3 linked regions of the Cricetulus griseus genome follow. The protein of the gene in region 3 purifies or fractionates together with the protein of the main gene of each other region. This does not show direct contact. Links are inferred from orthologs where the notes say so. Each region holds a gene or a part of one and is shown on either strand. Other genes may lie near its edges. The genes, in order: Sec16a, Ppp6c and Aurkb.

What was found.
Region 1: the proteins of Aurkb (region 3) and Sec16a purify together in Homo sapiens (affinity purification with mass spectrometry; 3 studies listed by BioGRID and IntAct, with this or other methods). This does not show direct contact. The link is inferred for Cricetulus griseus from reciprocal best matches to the Homo sapiens genes AURKB and SEC16A.
Region 2: the proteins of Aurkb (region 3) and Ppp6c purify together in Homo sapiens (affinity purification with mass spectrometry, with the first as the bait; 3 studies listed by BioGRID). This does not show direct contact. The link is inferred for Cricetulus griseus from reciprocal best matches to the Homo sapiens genes AURKB and PPP6C.

The regions. Positions count from the first base shown.
Region 1 is NC_048599.1:137,817,531-137,823,598, forward strand, and holds part of Sec16a (protein transport protein Sec16A), read right to left. Parts: intron 4,972-6,068; coding exon 4,848-4,971; intron 4,300-4,847; coding exon 4,101-4,299; intron 3,959-4,100; coding exon 3,784-3,958; intron 3,248-3,783; coding exon 3,105-3,247; intron 2,583-3,104; coding exon 2,521-2,582; intron 2,412-2,520; coding exon 2,273-2,411; intron 1,904-2,272; coding exon 1,658-1,903; intron 220-1,657; coding exon 122-219; intron 1-121. UniProt on the Homo sapiens protein: Acts as a molecular scaffold that plays a key role in the organization of the endoplasmic reticulum exit sites (ERES), also known as transitional endoplasmic reticulum (tER).
Region 2 is NC_048599.1:150,485,077-150,491,244, forward strand, and holds the start of Ppp6c (serine/threonine-protein phosphatase 6 catalytic subunit), read right to left. Parts: upstream 3,755-6,168; 5' UTR 3,636-3,754; coding exon 3,561-3,635; intron 1-3,560.
Region 3 is NC_048600.1:82,920,255-82,926,422, forward strand, and holds the start of Aurkb (aurora kinase B), read left to right. Parts: upstream 1-1,930; 5' UTR 1,931-2,243; coding exon 2,244-2,291; intron 2,292-3,030; exon of another isoform or gene 3,031-3,308; intron 3,309-3,881; coding exon 3,882-3,984; intron 3,985-4,091; coding exon 4,092-4,143; intron 4,144-4,294; coding exon 4,295-4,486; intron 4,487-4,648; coding exon of another isoform or gene 4,649-4,682; coding exon 4,683-4,821; coding exon of another isoform or gene 4,822-4,834; intron 4,835-4,904; coding exon 4,905-5,053; intron 5,054-6,168. UniProt on the Homo sapiens protein: Serine/threonine-protein kinase component of the chromosomal passenger complex (CPC), a complex that acts as a key regulator of mitosis.

The sequences.
Region 1 (6,068 bases), on a different chromosome or scaffold from region 3:
AACAGTATAACCCAAGAAGGGTCAAGGAAATCTATGACTCCACAGCTGAAAGCCCCACAAGCAGAGGAATGATATTTGAGTACCAAAGTCGGGTTACACAACTGGATGGGTACTAACTCACCTGGTCATGACACGAGCATGTGTCCGGCTGTCCATCTTACTTGCAAGCAGCAGAGCATGACCCCATAAGCCATTTTTCATGGCAGACTCCAGAGCATCCTGCAATGCATTTCAGGGCTCATGAGAATGATCAGAGTGCTGCTTACTGTTAGACCAGGCAGAACCACATGTTTTCATGCATACACACACAAAAACGATGAATATGGTTTTGACCTCAAAAGACAAATATGTTCATGGTTTATAGATGACAGTACAGCCTTGTCCTTCTGCCCTTTCTCTCTAGTGAGTACCTAGTAATTTTAGTCTCCCTTCTATGTGAGGAACCAGCACACCAGCTAGAAACAACGTGAAGAATGCAGTATCAGCGTGGGTTCCCCATCCAGGTGACATATGGCTACCCCGAATACACTCTCCAAACAAACAGCATCCTCAACTTAGTCTCTCCCTTTACCCCAAATAATCTGTGGTAAAATTGAGCACTTTTGGCCAGTAGGTAAAATTTTACCAATAGAAGTAAAATATTCACAAAAGCCAATAGGATCTATGATTCCAACCATATGTGAAACATCCATATTAAAATCTTAAGGACCACACATGAATTTTATTCTGAGCATGAGGGCACACACTTGTAGTCTCAACTATTCAGGAAACAGAGAGAAGACCACCATTTGAGCCCAGAAATTCAAGGCCTGCCTGGGTAACATGGCAAGACTGTTTCACAGACTAAGCTTTCTAGTCAGGTGTGGTGGCACACACTTGAAATCAAGAACTTCGGGGATATGATGATGCTTTGGGCCACAAACTTTCTAAGGTGGAGTCTATTTGAAAGTGTATGCTTATCACGCCCATGATTCGGTTCAATTCTTAGATCCACACCAGACTAAAAACATGAACTTCCTAAGTTGATCATAATGTGAAGGACAGAGAACTAGACCTATTAGATAGACGTGCTTGACACAGAGAACTCTATGAGCCACTATGAAGTGCCTCCCATGCTCAGCACATCCTCTGACCCAATGTGCACACTTTTAGCACTCTTTTTGTTGTTGTTTTTCAAGACAGGGTTTCTCCATGTGTAGCCCTGGCTGTCCTGAAACTTGCTCTGTAGACCAGGCTGCCCTTGAACTCATAGATTCTCCCCACCTCTGCCTCCCAAGTGCTGGGATTAAAGGCGTGTGACACCACTGCCCAGCTACTTTCAACACTCTTGTGCACACTGTCAGCCTGAGTTATATAAAACCTGAATTAACAAAAATACACAGGATTGGCCTGAAACTTCAGTCTTTAAGAAGACTTCATCCCAGGACTCTGCACACAGATGAGCACACATCCTCTCTAAATGACTGTAAACTGAACTGGCCAGATTTCCACATGGGCCCTTCTCAGAGAAAACACTACTAATACCTTCAGAGATATCAGGCAAAGGGCCAGATATCATCCCTAAACAGCACTTGCTGCAGTTGCCTCCTAGAGGAGGTTGGTCTTTTCCCTGGGCCAACAGACAGACACTAGAAGAAACATCTGCAGGGCTGCCTACCTTCTTCCGGCCATATAGTAAGAGCTCACGGAACCGCTCAATCTCCTTCTCCAGCACGCTGGTGGTTGCCGTCTGACTGTCTGTGAGAAATGAGAGCTGGGCCTCCCCTGACTCCTCCTCTTCCACTTGTTCCACGGCTTCATTAGTAAAATCTATCAAGTTTGCTTCATTGGGTGACTTCCCAGGAAGCCACACAGTTCTGTGGTCTCGTAACAAAAGCTCTGCAATGTCTGTTCCCACCACGGTCTACAGGGTCAGATGGGAAGCAGCGTAAGATTTTATTAGAAACAGGGTTTCTAGCCAGATGACAAATTCCCATGCTGTCAGAACCTGGCCAGGTCTGCATAGGTAGCACATGTTAGACCTCAGGAAAGAAGCCTGACTTTTCATGTGGGCAGGGAAGGCCTGAGGTGTCAGCTCATGACAAATCTTACACCTCCCTTTCTTCCTACTTTCCCAGGTTGTGGCCATGATGCTCTTCCCAAGGAAGCATGGCATGACTGGAAGCATTGTACAGAAGGCTTGACACTGCCCACAGCTTAGGACAGGAATAGGAAACAGATTCTGAGACTAAAGGCAAACAGAGAGAACATTAAAAAGTAAAAGAGAACATACCCCATTTTGTCTGCATAACAGAATGATGAAATTCCAAAGAAGACTTGCAGACTCTTTGTCAATTAAACTCTCATTCTGTAAACATTTTGTCGCTTTGTTCTGTGCGAAGTTAATAACATCTACTTTGTGGGTATCATCTCTGGGGAAAGAATGAACACTCAGTGAATGGTGGTACCAAAACTGTGAGCCAAACTTAGCAGCTGCCATTATGCCATTTTGTCAAAAGACATCGCAACAAGGAGCCTTACTTTCCAAGAGGTCCTGGGAAGGAGCGCATCTCTTCCTGCTCGGGTGTATGCTGCAGCAAGGTCTGCAATGAGAGGGGAAAAGCAGTTCACATGTACGACCTCCAGCAGACTGAGTTACAAAGCCAATTCTGGGACCACGCTCATCCCTCCATCCAGAGGGTGAAGGTGCTTGGTACAATTATATGAGCATGCATGAACTACAATGGAGGTTTTCAAATTTTAAACAGAAAAACTTATTTGGGTCTTGACAGATATGACAAGAGAGGCTTCTGAGGCTACAGAGAAAGTGTGCCCCCAATCTCATTCCATTAGTTAAAATACACACACACACACACACACACACACACACACACACACACACACACAAAAAAAAAAAAAAAAAACACTGTCAAAACATGAAAGGAAGCAGAAGAGCACATACAATCAACCCATATCTAACAACCACAGCACCTGCTTAAAGTGCTGAGTTCTAGAAGAGTCAGCCTCTAAATAGAACAAAAGCCCTAGAGGCCTAAGCTTCTCAGGAAGGCACACTTCCCAAGGATTTCCAAGGGGTGCAGAGAGAGCCACGGGTCCATGCTTACCTCCAAGCTGTGGATCTCCACCAGGGCAGGCTGTCCCTCTGAAGGCAGGTTGGGAATCACTTTAAGGAGCTGACCACCAGGACCAAACCTGGCATAGACATGAGGCACCGTAAATTTCTCAGGAGAGGTCGGTCTTGATGGAACTGAAGTTAAATAAACAGGAAGAAAAACAATAAGCTAGCTCGCCATGTCTAACAGCTTCTGCACCAGATTCCCAGCTCAGGCTCCCTGCCCAGCTCAGCTTCAGGCTAACTGTCACAGAGCATCCAAGAGCAAAAGAGCTGAGCAACTCATACACAAAAACCGTTTCTCATTGACTGGTGCTTTAGTCAGGAGAGTTCTCAGCTATACCTTTTTAAAGCTACACCTTTCAGGAGGTGGGATACTGGCACAAATCAGAACAAGAGTCTCTCAAGGGGAACTTGGAGTTCCAAGACTGCTTATCCACTTGCCAGTGTGGGAACATAGAGAAGAGCGACCCAAGGCTTGAGTGGACTCAAAGTTACACATTAACAATGCACATGTGGTCAAGCAGACAGGTCTCAGACCAAGGGCCAGCACTGGCCTGTACCAACAAGCCATGACATTCGGGACAGTGGGTACAGCGTGCAGAGGAGCTGATTGGACTCCCTTGTTTTAACCCAACCTGGTGGCTTCAATTTGAACTGCTGAGACGCACCTTGCTCCACAGCAGGCCAGGAGGTGTCTGCAGGGTAGCCGTACTCTGGAAAACCATGGGCACCGCTGAAATTGCTGGCATACGTGCCATAGGCATAATCACCATGAAATGAGCCTGGGGCATGAGGGGCTTCAAAGGAACCACCAGTCACATTGTGGCTTCTGTAAATCTGACTCTTGGGAGAGAAATCAAGCAGAGAAAATGAGTTCCCATGAACACCAGAAAGACTGTGGGTACACCGTTAGAACTAGGCAAAGACAAAGTTGTGGCCAAGACTTAACACCTGCTCTTCCCCCTGCCAAGCCTGCCCAGCACACCTGATGTGAGTGGGAGCTGAGGCTGCTCCGGCGGCTAGGCAAGCTGTGAGTGCTGTGCAGGCTCCGAGCCGAGTGCTCACTGTGGATGCTGCGCCTGTCTGCTTCTTCTCCATAGGGGTCCCTGTGGAGCTCAGTGTCATCATCGAAGCTCCCCGTGAAACGAGGGTCATATCTCCAGTGATCATCACATTTCTCAGGCCTAGAGGAAACAGGGGACTGAGGCAGGGGATTGGAAGGGCAACTCCCTGGGACACCACATAACTACCCAGGAACTTCCCAAGGCTGCAGTTAGCCCTCACTGCTCATTGCCCTCCCTTTGTCCCTCTACCCTGAGGCTATCTTCATCCTTAAGAATGTTAGTTATAGCTAACCCTGCAGGCCCGGCACAAGAAACCAAATCCTAGGTTCAGATGCAGGTTATCTCAGAGAACACAGTACAGGTGCAACTTGAGGGTGGTTCCTTCCCTGGGTTATGGGCAGGATGGAGAAAAGACACCGAAGAAAGGAGGCAGATTTAAAGTCCTCCCAGAGCCACTGGGAAGGAGCACATTTGAGCCAGTTCTTCTTCCATAGGCCAGAAGGGGGGGGTATAGGGAGAGATGGCCAATACTTCCTCTTTCAGACACTAAGAGATCACTTCCCAGAAGCCCAGAACTATCGTTGATTACTTCCAAAGATAGGAGGAAGGCAAGCAAGAGCACACCTCAGCTCCCTCCCACTTCCTTCAGACGTGTACATTTCACTAACCTGTCACTGTAAGCATAGTTTTCCTTCCTGTATGGGTCATGCTCGGAGTCATACCAGTATCTCCGGTCCCAGGTGCGAGGATCCCTGAAGCGAGGCCCATAGTAACGATCCCAGCGGCCTGGGTCTGTAAGTGAGGAATGAAGAGAGAGTGCAGCAGTGACACACAGAAGACCCACCCAGCTGCCCTGGAGCAGGCAGACAGCTTAGGAGGAAAGGACAGGCATGGCCTAGAGAGCGAGCCCCAATCCGGAAGAACCAGCTGCCTCCTGCTCATGATGTGGCAGTCACTGTTCTCTCAATATACATATTTGGATGAAAAAAAGAAAAGCTACTACAAGAGTTCTATATTAAGTTCTTTTTCACTTTTTTTGGTTTGTTTTGAGATGTGAGGGATCAAACTTAAGGCTTTAAGAACAGTCGGGTGTGTAGCTAGGTACCACAGTTACAGCCCCAGCCTTGATAATACTTTTTAATAGTTATCTCAACTATAAATTATATTAATTATACTCCTAACATGATTCAGGATATATTTTAAGATATATTATTTCTATGCGTATTGGTGTTTTGCCTGCATGTTTGTCTGTGTGAGAGTGCCAGATCCCCTAGAACTAGAGTTACAGATGTTGTGAGCTGCCATGTGGGTGCTGGGAGTTGAACCCAGGTCCTCTGGAAGAGCAGCAAGTCAGCACTCTAACAGCTGAGCCACCTCTCCAGCTTGTGTTTCAGGATTTTGTTTGTTTATTTTTTGTTTTTGTTTTTTTGAGACAGGGTTTTTCTGTGGCATTGGAGGCTGTCCTGGAACTAGCTCTTGTAGACCAGGCTGGTCTCGAACTCACAGAGATTAGCCTGCCTCTGCCTCCCCAGGGCTCAGATTAAAGGCATGCGTCACCAAGCCCGGCTTTGTTTCAGGATATTTTAAGAAATAATTTCATTAAAAGCTAACTCTCTTTTTAAATATTAACATTATGAACAAACATTTTAGGAGAGTGTGTACAATACTCCTGCTTAAAAGTAATGCAAATCGGCCGGGTGTTGGTGGCGCACGCCTTTAATCCCAGCACTTGGGAGGCAGAGGCAGGTGGATCTCTGTGAGTTCGAGGCCAGACTGGTCTCCAGAGCAAGTGCCAGAATAGGCTCCAAAGCTACACAGAGAAACCCTGTCTCGAAAAACCAAAAAAAAAAAAAAAAAAAAAAAAAAAAAAAAAAAAAGCAATGCAAATG
Region 2 (6,168 bases), on a different chromosome or scaffold from region 3:
TTCTTCTGATAGAATTTTGGCATTCAGACCTCAAAAAAGACAATGCTAGGGGCTGGAGAGATGGCTCAGAAGTTAAGAACACCGGCAGAGGATCTGGTTTCGATTCCTAGCCTCACAAAGTAGCTCACAACCATCTGTAACTTCAGTCCCTAGAAAGCCTCTTATGCTCTGCATGCATGTGGTACACAGACATACATACAAGTAAAATGTCCACATACACAAAATATAAATAAAAATCACACAAAAAAGTTTTTAAGACTCATGGCTGGAGAGCACTTGTTGGTCTTGCAGAGGACCTAAGCTCAATTCTCAGCAGCCACATGGTGGCTTGTAACCACCCAGAAACTCTAATTTCAGGAGATCTGAAGACCTTCTGACTCCCTCAGATACCAGGCATGCACATGATACAGACACATACATTCAGACAAAACATTCATACACATAAAAAAAAGTCTCTTAGAATATTTCCTTGGCTTACCTGTTTTTAGTCTGTACTTTATGCCAGGGAACACAAATAAAATTGAGTTTCTTTCCTTTCTGCTTTCCTTCCTTCCTTTCTTATTTATTTTATATTTGAGATAGAATTTCACCATGCAGCTCAGATTGGGCTGGAACTCACTATGTAAACCAGGCTGACCTCAAACTCACAGAGATCCACTTGCCTCTTGCTTTCAGTGCTGGGATTAAACACATTTTCCATCAAGAGTAACTAAAACTGAATTTCATAAACACTAGTCAAGAATGTTGGCACACCTTTGTAATTCTAATACTCAGGAGACTGAGGCAGGAAGATTGCAATTGTAGCTAGCTCAAAGTTAGGATGGGCTACATAGTTGAGTTCCAGTCAAGAACTGGACTGCAGGGTAAAAACTTAATAAATAAGCAATCAAGCAAACAGAAAATATACCAGAGACTGACAGCACATGCAAATCAATCTGGTAAAACTGTTTCTAGGATAGGGGAAAAAAATTCTACCCAATAGTTACCCAAAAACTTTGGTGGGGGGGGTGGGGAGGAGTGGGGGGCCGTATGGAAGTCTATAAGAGACATGTACATGTGGGGCTGAAGAAGCGACAAAGTGGTTAACTACTTTTGTAGAAGACCTGTGTTCTATTCCCAGCACCCACGTCAGGCTGCTTACCACTACCTGTAACTGCAGCTCCAGAGAGATCTAATGCCTCTGGCCTCTGAGGGTGTCTGCACTCAGGTGCACATACCCTGACAGAGACATACATGGTAGATCTCTGAATTCAAGGCCAGCTTGGTCTATAGGGAGTTCCAGGACAGTCAGGGCTACACAGAGAAACCCTGTCTTGATAAACAAAATAAATAAATAAAATTAAAAAGCATACAACAGGAGAAATGGTTCAGCTGTTAAAAGTTTACTTTTCTCCAGATGTTGGTGGTGTATGCCTTTAATCCCAGCACTCGGGAGGCAGAGGCAGGCAGATCTCTGGGAGTTCTAGCTAACCTGGTCTAAAGAGCGAGTGCCAGGACAGGCTGCAAAGCCACAGAGAAACCCTGTCTGGAAAAACAAAACAAAAGGTTTACTTTTCTTGTAGAAGACTCAGATTTGACCCCCAGCATCTACATCAGTTAGCTCATGCCACCTATAAATCCAATTCCAGGGTTAGGATGCTCTCTGCTTCTGCCAGCACCGGTACACATAAATTCACACAGGCATACATACAAAAACATAAATAAAAATAACAAAACTTTTCAAAATTAATTTCAATCCTCATACCACAATAAAATAGAATAAACCACTATTAAAGTAGAAGCAGACCCAGGGGTTCTAGGCAAGCTTGGGCTACATAATCCTGTGTGTGCGTGTGAACTGGAGAGATGGCTCAGCACTTAGACTGTATAAGGGACCTGAGTTCAGTTTTATTCACCTACATCTGGTGGCTCACAAACTGCCTGTAACTCCAGCTCCAGGATGACCTCCAAAGGCACCATGTGCCCATACTCTTCCTCCCTCCACAAACACTAATTAAAACTAAATCTTATTTATTTATAAAAAAAGAAAGAATAAGCACAGAGCAGCCAGGCATGGTAGTTTAAGTTGCAGCTTTTGATAAGTGGGAGCAAAAGGATCAGAATTCAAGGTCATCCTCAGGTATTTAGTGGGTTGGAGGCCACGATGAACTTTTTTTTTTTTTTTTAAGATTTACTTTTATTTTGTGTATGACTTTTTGCCTGCATGTATGTCTGTGAAACAGGTATGTGCCTTGATGCCTGCAAAGGCCAGAAGAGGGCATCACATCACTTGAACAGGAGTTAACCGCCATGTCCTTGCTGGGAATAGAATTTTCAGGTCCTCTGGAAGACCAACCAGTGCTTTGAACCGCGGAGACATCTCTCCAGCCCCAGCAAGACCTATCTTAAGATGCTATCTCAGACAGAAAACAAAACTAAAAAAATTACCAAGCAGAAAGAAGAGCCAAATGACTGAAAGATGCAGGTGGCTGAACATGTGAATACCAACCACGTAACACATACAATCAATATTTAAGTACAAGTTAGGTACTTTCACACAAACAGCACACGTGATCTTAAACATTTTGCATATTGTTTGATCAACTTCATGTATCAAATGAGACAGGAAAACGCACACAGAGCAACATCTTGCCTAGGAGAAATATAATTCATCAGCAAGATTTTTTTCTTGAAAAAAGTTTTAAGCCCATGACTTAAAATGATTACAAAAACAGCCTAAAAGAATTCAAGTGATCGAGAGCGTTTATGTATTTACCACACAGTAAATCAAAGGTAATGGAATAAAACTAGCAACCATCGTATAAACACCAATGGAGACCTAAGCACTAGCTTTAGCAGAAGCAAAATACGTTTGAAAACAGTGGTTTACCAACGGCTTGCTTCCTTTACATTCATTCTTTCAACACTCTTAACTTGAGCTGGGTGAGACCTTGAGAAACGAAGAAAACGACACTTTGGGTTATGGGGGAACAGCTCAGAGGTCATAAAAGCATTTGCACTCTTGATAAGCGACCGCTTGTTCACTTAAATAGCTCAGCACCGTGCTGAGAAATGGGATCCCCATCCGAATTATCAGAAGAAAACTAGCACTGCTAATTAGGGAGCAATTTGGGGGAGTGGTGAAGCTCAGGCGACTGACAATGTCCTACTACTGTCAACCGATCCCGCCCACCGGCTTCCTAAACACACTGCGGACACCCGCGTCCTGGGGCCGTCAGCAGCTCCTGTCCCCTCTGCCGGGAGGACCCCATCGCGAGAGCCCTGCCCGCTGGCAGACCGAGCGTGTCAGAGCCCAAGAGGCTGAGCCAGGGGGGGCCGGGGGACCGCACATGCCCGGGACCCCCTCAGGGAGCCGCGCCAGCATTCGGGGAACTCGGGCTCCGCTGGTTCTCCGCGTTTCGCCGCGTCGGGCCCGGTGGCCTCGCACCGCGCAGCGCCCTCCGCCGCGCCAGGGCCGGGTGCCCGGTCGGGGTCCGGCCGGGGGAGAAGGGCGGCCGGCGGACGCCCCACGGCCGGAAGGGGCTTGCCTCGCCAGCAGGACGGGCTCCGGCCCGGCTCACCTTCAGGTCGTTCTCGGGAAGGTACTTGCACTGCCGCGCGATCTCCACATACTTGTCCAGATCGAGCGGCGCCATCTTAGGCAGAACAAGCCGCGGTGGCGGCGGGGCGGCGGCGGCGGCAGCGGCGGCGGCGGCGGCAGCGGTAGTACTGGAGGCAGCGGCGGAGGCCGAAGCCGGAACTCTCCTTACGTCACGTCCGACCCGTGAGTGGCGTCTGCGCAGCGACGTCAAAACCTGAGTTGCTTCTCTTCCGCGCCTCGACACGCCCTGCGCCCTCTCAGGCCGAACTCCGGGGGTCCTGCTGACAAAGCCTGTTGGGACCCGTAGCTGTCTGCCGCGGAGGATGCTGGGATTTGTAGTTTTCGTGAATCCGAATGCTCTTCCTTTCCTACCCTTCATGTCAGGGAAATCAGATGAGGCTTTTCTGCGGGAAGACTACCAAGTGAATAAGTAGGTTTTCCCTAGCACTCAGCATTTTCAGTTAAAGTTAGGGTAACTTGCCGACTTTCCAGGGCTAGTGAAGACCCCGGCCTAGATGTGTAGAACAGATTTAACACACCCAATTCTCTGGCTTGGAAGAAAACAAACAAATATTAAAGCATTTCTTAGGCTAAATTCTGTACAAATACTGGCGCGCTGTTTTTCCTTTTCTTGTAAGACCGAAGGGCGTGCAAAATTTGCACGTGTTACTTCCCCCAAATATCAAAGGAAACAAAAAAGGTGGAGCCTAGACTAAAAAAACAGACTACTGACTTGATTAAATGTGTGAGTCCCAGGGGGCGGCAAGAAGGGTTTAGTTTTTGTTGCTTTTACTTTGTTTGATTTTTGTCGTATCCTCGTGTTAAGAACAGTTCTTGACATCTAATATAGCTTTAACATTGGTTCATTTGACGACTGTATATTGAGCAGTAATTAAGTACAGATAGCTTGTAGGAGCTTAGTGACCACAGTAGACGAAAATCTCTATCCTTGAGGCTGGAAAGATTGCTCAGTGACTAAGAGCACTAGCTGCTCTTCCGGACCAGGATCCAAGTTTTATTACCAGCACCCACAAGGCTGCTCACAAATCCTGTAAGCCCAGTTCCAGGGGATCAGACACCCTCTTCTGGTCTCTGGGGCACTGTATGGATGTAATTCACAAACCCACTTGAAGACAAAAATAAATAAAATAATAAAAATTTAAGAATATATATTCTGTTTCCAACCTGTAATTTTCTACCAATCAGGGGCTGGAGAGATAGCTCAGAGGTTAGGAGCACTGGAGGTCCTGAGTTCAATTCCCAGCAACCACATGATGGCTCACAAACATCTATAATGAGATCTGGTGCCCTCTTCTGGCCTGCAGGCAAACATGCAGACAGAACACTGTATACATAATAAATAAATCTTTAAAAAAAAAATTAGAAAAAGAATTAACCAATCAGCCATCGATAGTGGAGCACACATTTGACCCCAGCCCTGGAGAGGCAAATGGATAACTGTGAGCTCTAGGATAGCTCGGTCTAAGTTAGCAAGTTGTCAACCAGGAGACCCTGTTCAAAACAAAACAAAACAAAACAAAACAAAATAAAAAACCCACAAAACCCACCAAGGTGGTAGTCTCCGGAAGATCGCTGATGAAGCATTCCTAAGCATATCACGAGCCTTTGGGGAGAGACCCTACCATGTGGAGATCAGAGGAAAAAAGGAAACACCCATTTATTTTTCATTTGATGCAATGGGCAACTATTGTAGGATTTTAAGTAGAGATGCAAAATGGTCAAACTTACTTGGATTTTCTTTTGTTTTGGTTGGTTGGTTTTGTTTGAGCCATCTCTTTAGCCCCTTGACTCCCATTTTAAAAACAGAACTCAAACATTCCTAGAATTCAGGAATGTGATTTCTATTCTAAAGGATTAGTTCCTACAGTGTAAACTATCTGATATTCCAGTTTTTCTTGTTAATATACCCCTTTAGCATGGCATCTTGAGGTAATCCTAGTCAAAAGACACATGCCCCATCAAAGCATTCTGGAGCTCTGACAGTAATTCTGTCTAAATATATGTTGGGCACATGACCAGAGCCAACCTGGCCTTGGTCCTCTTCCCAGAAGGAAAGCAGAGTGAGTGTATACCTCTAAACTCTTCTTCGGCAGTCTCTGGGAAACTTTCTACTAACTACAGGAAGTTATGAAGAGTTCAGGTGTTAAAAACACATGGCAAGGAAGTGAAGACAGCTGAAGCCCCCAAATTCTATTTTGTCCATGAATTTTGGTTAGATTTCAAGTAGCTAAACGAGTGATTGATTAGGTTAGTTTGGAGACCTGGGAGGCACAGAGCAGTTGGTCTGGACGGCTTCCATGGCCTGAGGAAGGGGGCGGGCTCCTAAGCTCCACCTATGGGTGGAGCCACATCCTGGACAAGCCAGGGCTGCAGCCAGTAATTGGTGCTGGGCTGGAGGTCTCTGGGCGGGTCACCTTGCCTAAGTGTGCCTTAGCTGGGTGGAAGGGACAGTGTCCCTGTTCTCCGGCCGGCCACATTAGCGGAAAGCAGGCAGCCATTTCTCCCTGACCCTGACTTCTTTCACTCGGAGATGTGGCCGGAGAGAGGATTTAAAGGGAGTGGCTAGG
Region 3 (6,168 bases):
CCTGGGCCTTGTCCTGTCTTGTGCCAGGACACTTTGTCACATGAACCAACACCACGGCACACAGCAGACTAGTCTTTATTGCAGAAGTTGTACATGCCCAAGCTTTGGAACCCCCAAAATAGTTCTGGTCCTTCCCTTGGCAGGAAAATGCTCCCTTATGGCCACCAGAAGAGTGCACACTTATAATTACTCAAGAGATGGAATGAAACTCAAGAGTTAACTCAGCCTGGGCATTGGTGGCTCATGCTTTTAATCCCAGCACTCAGGAGGCAGATGTAGGCAGATCTCTGTGAGTTTGAGGCCAGACTAGTCTACAGATGGAGTTCCAGGACAACCTCCAAAGCAATACAGAGAGGCCCTGTCTCAAGAAAAAAAAAATGTTAACTCAGTGGGAATTGGTAATTTATAGAATTTGAAAACTCCTAGCAATCCTCCTGCCTCAGGCCCCAGAGTGGTAGAATTACAAGCCTAATGTTAGAATAAGAAACATTAAAGGATTTTTAAGAACAAAGCATTTACAGAAGAGTGGATTTTGATTTGAACTGTGTTCAAATCCCACAGCTATCAGGGACCCAGCACAGAAAGTTCCACCACTGGAAACCTCTTTCTAGGAACTCAAAGGACATTTAAGAAGAAATAGAAAAGGGATAAGCAAGCTGGGCCTGATACTGTGTGCTTGTAATCCAAGTACTTTGGGAGCTGTGATGAGAGGATCAGAATTTCAAGGCAAGCCTGGGCTATATAGTGAATTGGAGGCCAACCTGAGCTTAACAGAGAGACCTGTCTCAAATAAAATCCAAATACTAATCAGACAAGGAGAATAGGGAATCCAGAAACACAGATACATATTCTACAACCATGGATTCAGCAAATTGCTTGTCTGTCTGTCTGTCAAACCTTCAAATCCATCTGTCTCATCTAATGGATTACATCTGTATTGACTTTTCCTCCCTGCATCATACTCCCTCACAGAGAGCTTTACTACTGTTTCACAGTATTTCCATAATATTAGGTAGCTAGGTGATCTAGAGATTAGCCAAAGAGCCTGAGAGAGTTACAAACTCAATGCAAATCTATGTCCTATACAATAGTATGCCTGTTTATATAAGGAACCTGAGCACTCTGGATTAGGTAACGTAGGGCGTTCTAAAGATGATACCCCAAGGATACTTAAAGAGGATTGTACAATCATTAAGGGCAGCATTTAAATTCTCCTGCGAAATAGATAGTTTTTGCTGTTTGTTCATTTTTTTCCGAGACAGGCTTTCTCTGTAATAGTCCTGGCTGTCCTGAAACCAGGCTGGCCTCGAACTCACAGACATCTACGAGTCTCTGCCTCTCCAGGTAAAACAGTTTAACCAAAGGCGTGGGCATAATTGTCTCTCCATCTGGCAGAAAAAAAGTTTTACACACGCCCATACACAGAGAGGGAGAGGGAGAGAGGGGAGAAGAGATAGGTAACAATTAATCTTAGTGTGTTGTTTTTGAGACAGGGTTCTACGCCCTGTCTAAATCCTCCTCTACTCCGCTCCCTCCCCATGACAGGGTTTTTGTCTGTGTAGCCCTGATGGTTCAAGAACTCGCTGTGTAGACCAGGCTGGCCTCGCCGCACTCAGGGATCCACCTGCCTCTGCCTCCTGAGTGCTGGGATTAAAGGTGTGCGCCACCACTGCCCAGTTTAAATTTTTGTTATTGTTTATATTATTTATTATTATTATTATTATTATTATTATTATTATTATTATTATTAATATTATTATTATACAAAAGTGTGATATCTTGGGAAAGCAGCCTCAGCCTAGAGAAAGGAGCATCTCAATCCGCTTCTTGTTTTGCGTCTCAACCAGTTACGTCACAAGAAACGTAGCCAATGAAAGCGGGCTTGGGTGGCGGCTCAGCCAATGGGCTCAGAGCGGGAGATTTGAAAGTGTCGGAGTCGCGGAGCCGCAGGGCAGGCGGCTTCTCCAACGTGCGGGCGCCGAGCTGAGAGGAGAGCCGCTGCGCCGTGGGCTCCGGAGGGCGCGGGTGGTCCACGGCGTCCGGCTCCGTTGGGCGGGCCACGTGCCAGCCCGGCCGCCTAGAGGGAGGGGTGCGGAGAGGGGCGCACAGGTGCGCCCCGACCTCGGCCTGCGCGCTGGTTTCCTTCCGCCCGCCCCCGCTTGCGCTCCCCGCAGATCTCTGCATCTTCTCCCTCTCACCGCTGCTTCCCTCTCTGCCCAGCTCTCCTCCGGCTTTTCCTTGAGATGGCCCAGAAGGAGAACACCTACCCGTGGCCCTACGGCTCGCAGAAGGTAAGGTCCCGGCCACATTCCTCGCCCCACCTCCCTCGGAAGGCAAGTCCTCGGAGGCAGATGGAGCACCCTGCCGATGGCTGTCCTCTAAGCGCTTCCGACGTGTTCCCCAAGAGTTTGCATGCAGAGCCCAGTCTGATCACTTGCAGCCGTATCCTATCCAGATGTTGTCAACCTGAATCTGAGGGCTTCTGCAGAGCTGAGTCTGCTTGTCACATGCAAATAATAACTGGGACTGAGCAAGCAGCAGTATTGTGCTTTCGGGCGGTGAATCCCACCCTTTAGTCTGAGAAAATGAACTACACAGAAATTAGACTGTAGAATACAAAGTTACTGTTTAACAGGTCCAGGAAGGTCTAAATTTTATTTGTGAGGCTGGATAGCAAACCCAGGACCTCCAGTTTTGATGTACCATTGAGCTACGCTTCAGCCCCAGAATTTATATTAATGAGTGGTTGTAGCTAAGGATCCAAATAGATTTGAAATTGTGTGTGTGTGTGTGTGTGTGTGTGTGTGAACGCATGGGCCAATCTATACTGATATCACTGGGGGAGGTTTGTAGGCACCCTGGGGCCTTCTCTTGGCTGAAGAAATGAGAAACCTGTAATACAGCACATCTGTAATGAGCTTGGCAAGCTAATGGGACCCTGAGCCCTACACCAAAATGAAGAGCTCTTCAGTCTGTCCCCGTTGGTGGGACCTGGGCATCCTGGACAGCCCATCTGCTTCCTTGTCCCAGATTCTTCCCGCATGAAGCACCGAGTAAAACCGAGAAGAGTGGAGTCTGAGTGTGACACCACTGTTACACTCACCGTGGTCACTATCAAATGGAATGATCTATTACTCAGCGAAGTCTGAAAGTGAAGAAGTGGCTTGAGGCCTTGAATATCCCTCAGCATCCCTCTGGTGTGGCAACTTCATGAGCTCGAGCTCTTATGTGAGCCTGGATGAATGTGGTGTAGAGCTATCCAGATTGGACGGTGCTGTGCTTGAGCAGGTGGTGTGGGCCAGGGCCAGGTGAATTGTTAGGTGTCAGAGGGCATCTTCTCCCTTGTCTTCGATTGCTTTCTTCATTCATTCCTTTACTTTGTTTGTTTGTTGATGTTTTGTGGGGAGGATGAGGGTGATGTTAAAACAAGGCCTTATTTAGCTCACACTGGCCTTGAACTGACTGTTGAGGATTGTCTTGAACTCCTGATCAAGGGCCTCCACCTCCTAAGTGCTGGGGTTACTGATGTGTGCCAGGAGACAGGGTTTCTCTGTGTAGCTTTGGAGCCTATCCTGGCACTCGCTCTGGAGTTCAGGCTGGCCTTGAACTCACAGCGATCCGCCTGCCTCTGCCTCCTGAGTGCTGGGATTAAAGGCATGCGCCACCAACGCCCAGCCTCAGGTTGTTTCTTAATAACCCATTTCTTCTGGAGCAATGAGCAGACCTCTGGGGCTAGGTAGTCAAACCATGGTGTATCACTATTGTTTGAACTGTGAGTGGATGGATGGACTCTTTAACAAGTAGCTGAAACGGTGCTTATAGCACATTCCAGCTAGACCACAGGGACAAGAACACACTCAGAGCTTCCCTTTTTTCCTCAGTCTCATTCAGGCCTGAACACCCTGCCCCAGAGAGTCCTGCAGAAGGAGTCTGCTGTGACATCTGCACTTGCCCTCATGAACCGGTCCAATGGCCAGTCCACAGGTACCTGGGACAATGGGGAGAGGACTGGCCCAAGGGGACCAGAATCCAAGAGAGGGTATAAGGCGAGAATGTCAAAGAGGAACTCAACATGCCTGCTCTCTCCTTAGCTGCCCCTGGCCAGAAGTTGGCTGAAAATGTCAGTCGGGGCTCCAATGCCTTGTAAGTACCCCAGAGTAAGTCGGGGAACTTAAACTGTGGTGAGGCTGAAATGGGGAAATTAAAGGGAACACAGATAGAGAGAAATCAAACACCTTAGAATCTGAGCCAGCCAGCCCTGAGCTAGCTGCCTTCCCCCCACTTTATTAATCAGGCGGTCCCTCACTATTGACGACTTTGAGATTGGGCGTCCTCTGGGCAAAGGCAAATTTGGAAATGTGTACTTGGCTCGGGAGAAAAAAAGTCATTTCATCGTGGCACTCAAGATCCTCTTCAAGTCTCAGATTGAGAAGGAGGGAGTGGAGCACCAGCTGCGCCGAGAGATCGAAATCCAGGCACACCTGCAGTATGCTACTCACCCCTGGCCCTGGCCCCTCTGCCAACCTCATCACCCCACATTCCTATTTCTGCATCCCCAGCCCTGTCTTACACCATCTGGACCACCTACCCAGCTCTTCCTTATACTTCCACCCTGATCTAGGTCTTTGCCATCTGTCCTGTCTCCTAGATGCAAGCCGAAGCTTCCTTTCTCTTTGCCCCAGACATCCCAACATTCTTCGGCTCTACAACTACTTCTATGACCGGCGTAGGATCTACTTGATACTGGAATATGCCCCGAGGGGGGAACTCTACAAGGAACTACAGAAGAACAGAACTTTCGATGAGCAGCGGACAGCCACGGTCAGGATCCGGTGTGGGGCATGAGGCTGTGGCTATTGCTGGAAGTGGAGGCCTGTTTGACCTTCTGCTATGAACTCTCGTAGATCATGGAGGAGCTGTCGGATGCACTGATGTACTGCCACAAGAAGAAGGTGATTCACAGGGACATAAAACCTGAGAACCTGCTGTTAGGTCTCCAGGGCGAACTGAAGATTGCGGACTTTGGCTGGTCTGTGCATGCTCCCTCCCTGAGGTATGGTGGGGCTCGGGGGCTGTCCCTCGTGTGAGGCTGTGATATACAGCTCTTCTGCAAGTTGTTCCTTGAGATGGGGTTTGTCTCCATGCAATATAGATGTAGCAAAGTCTTTACAAAAATAGGTAACACAATAATTCATGCTCTAAATTTTCTACTCTTTCTATGAAATATAGTGGGCCCTCTCTTACCATATCATTGTGGAAACTCCCACATGATTGATTGATTGATTGATTGATTGATTGATTGATTGATTGAAACAGGGTCCTATGTAGCACAGAATGACTTCAAACTCACTATATAGCCAAAGATAACCTTAAATTTCTGATCACCCTCCAAACATAGCTGAGTTACAGGCAAGCATCACCATGTCAAGTTTACCCCTGCCGACCCTGTTCATTCTAAGGAGATACGGCCTCACCGAGTTCCCCGGGCTGTTTTTAAAGGCCCAGGTGCAAATGAGTATCTGGTATCACAGGCATACGCTGACATGCCTGGTTACCAAGGTCACATTTTATTTGATTTGGTTTGGTTTTAGTGTTGAGGATGGAACCCAGGGCATTGCCTATGTTAGGAAAATGCTCTTTCACTGAGCCACATCCCTCAGAACCGCTTCCCAGTTTTTTAACTGTTTGGTTTTTTTTGAGACAGCGTTTCTCTGAGTAGCCCTGGCTATACTGGAACTCACTTTGTAGACCAGGCTGGCGGCCTCAAACTCAAAGAGATCCACCCGCCTCTGCTTCTTCCTGAGTGCTGGGATTAAAGGTGTGCTTACTATTGCTTGGCCTCTTCTTTTTAATAATTTATGTGCATTGGTGTTTTGTCTGCATGCATGTCTGTGTGAGGGTGTCAGATCTTGGAGTTACAGATAATTGTAAGCTGCCATGTGGGTGCTGGGAATTGAACCTTGGTCCTGCAATCAGTGCTCTTAACCACCGACAAATCTCTCCAGACCTCCTCTTCACAGTTTTGTTTGTTTGTTTGTTTGGGCTTTTTTTTTTTTGGTTTTTTGAGACAGGGTTTCTCTGTGTAGCTTTGGAGCCTATCCTGGCACTCAAGCTGGAGACCACGCTGGCCTCGAACTCACAGAGATCCGCCTGCCTCTGCCTCCCAAG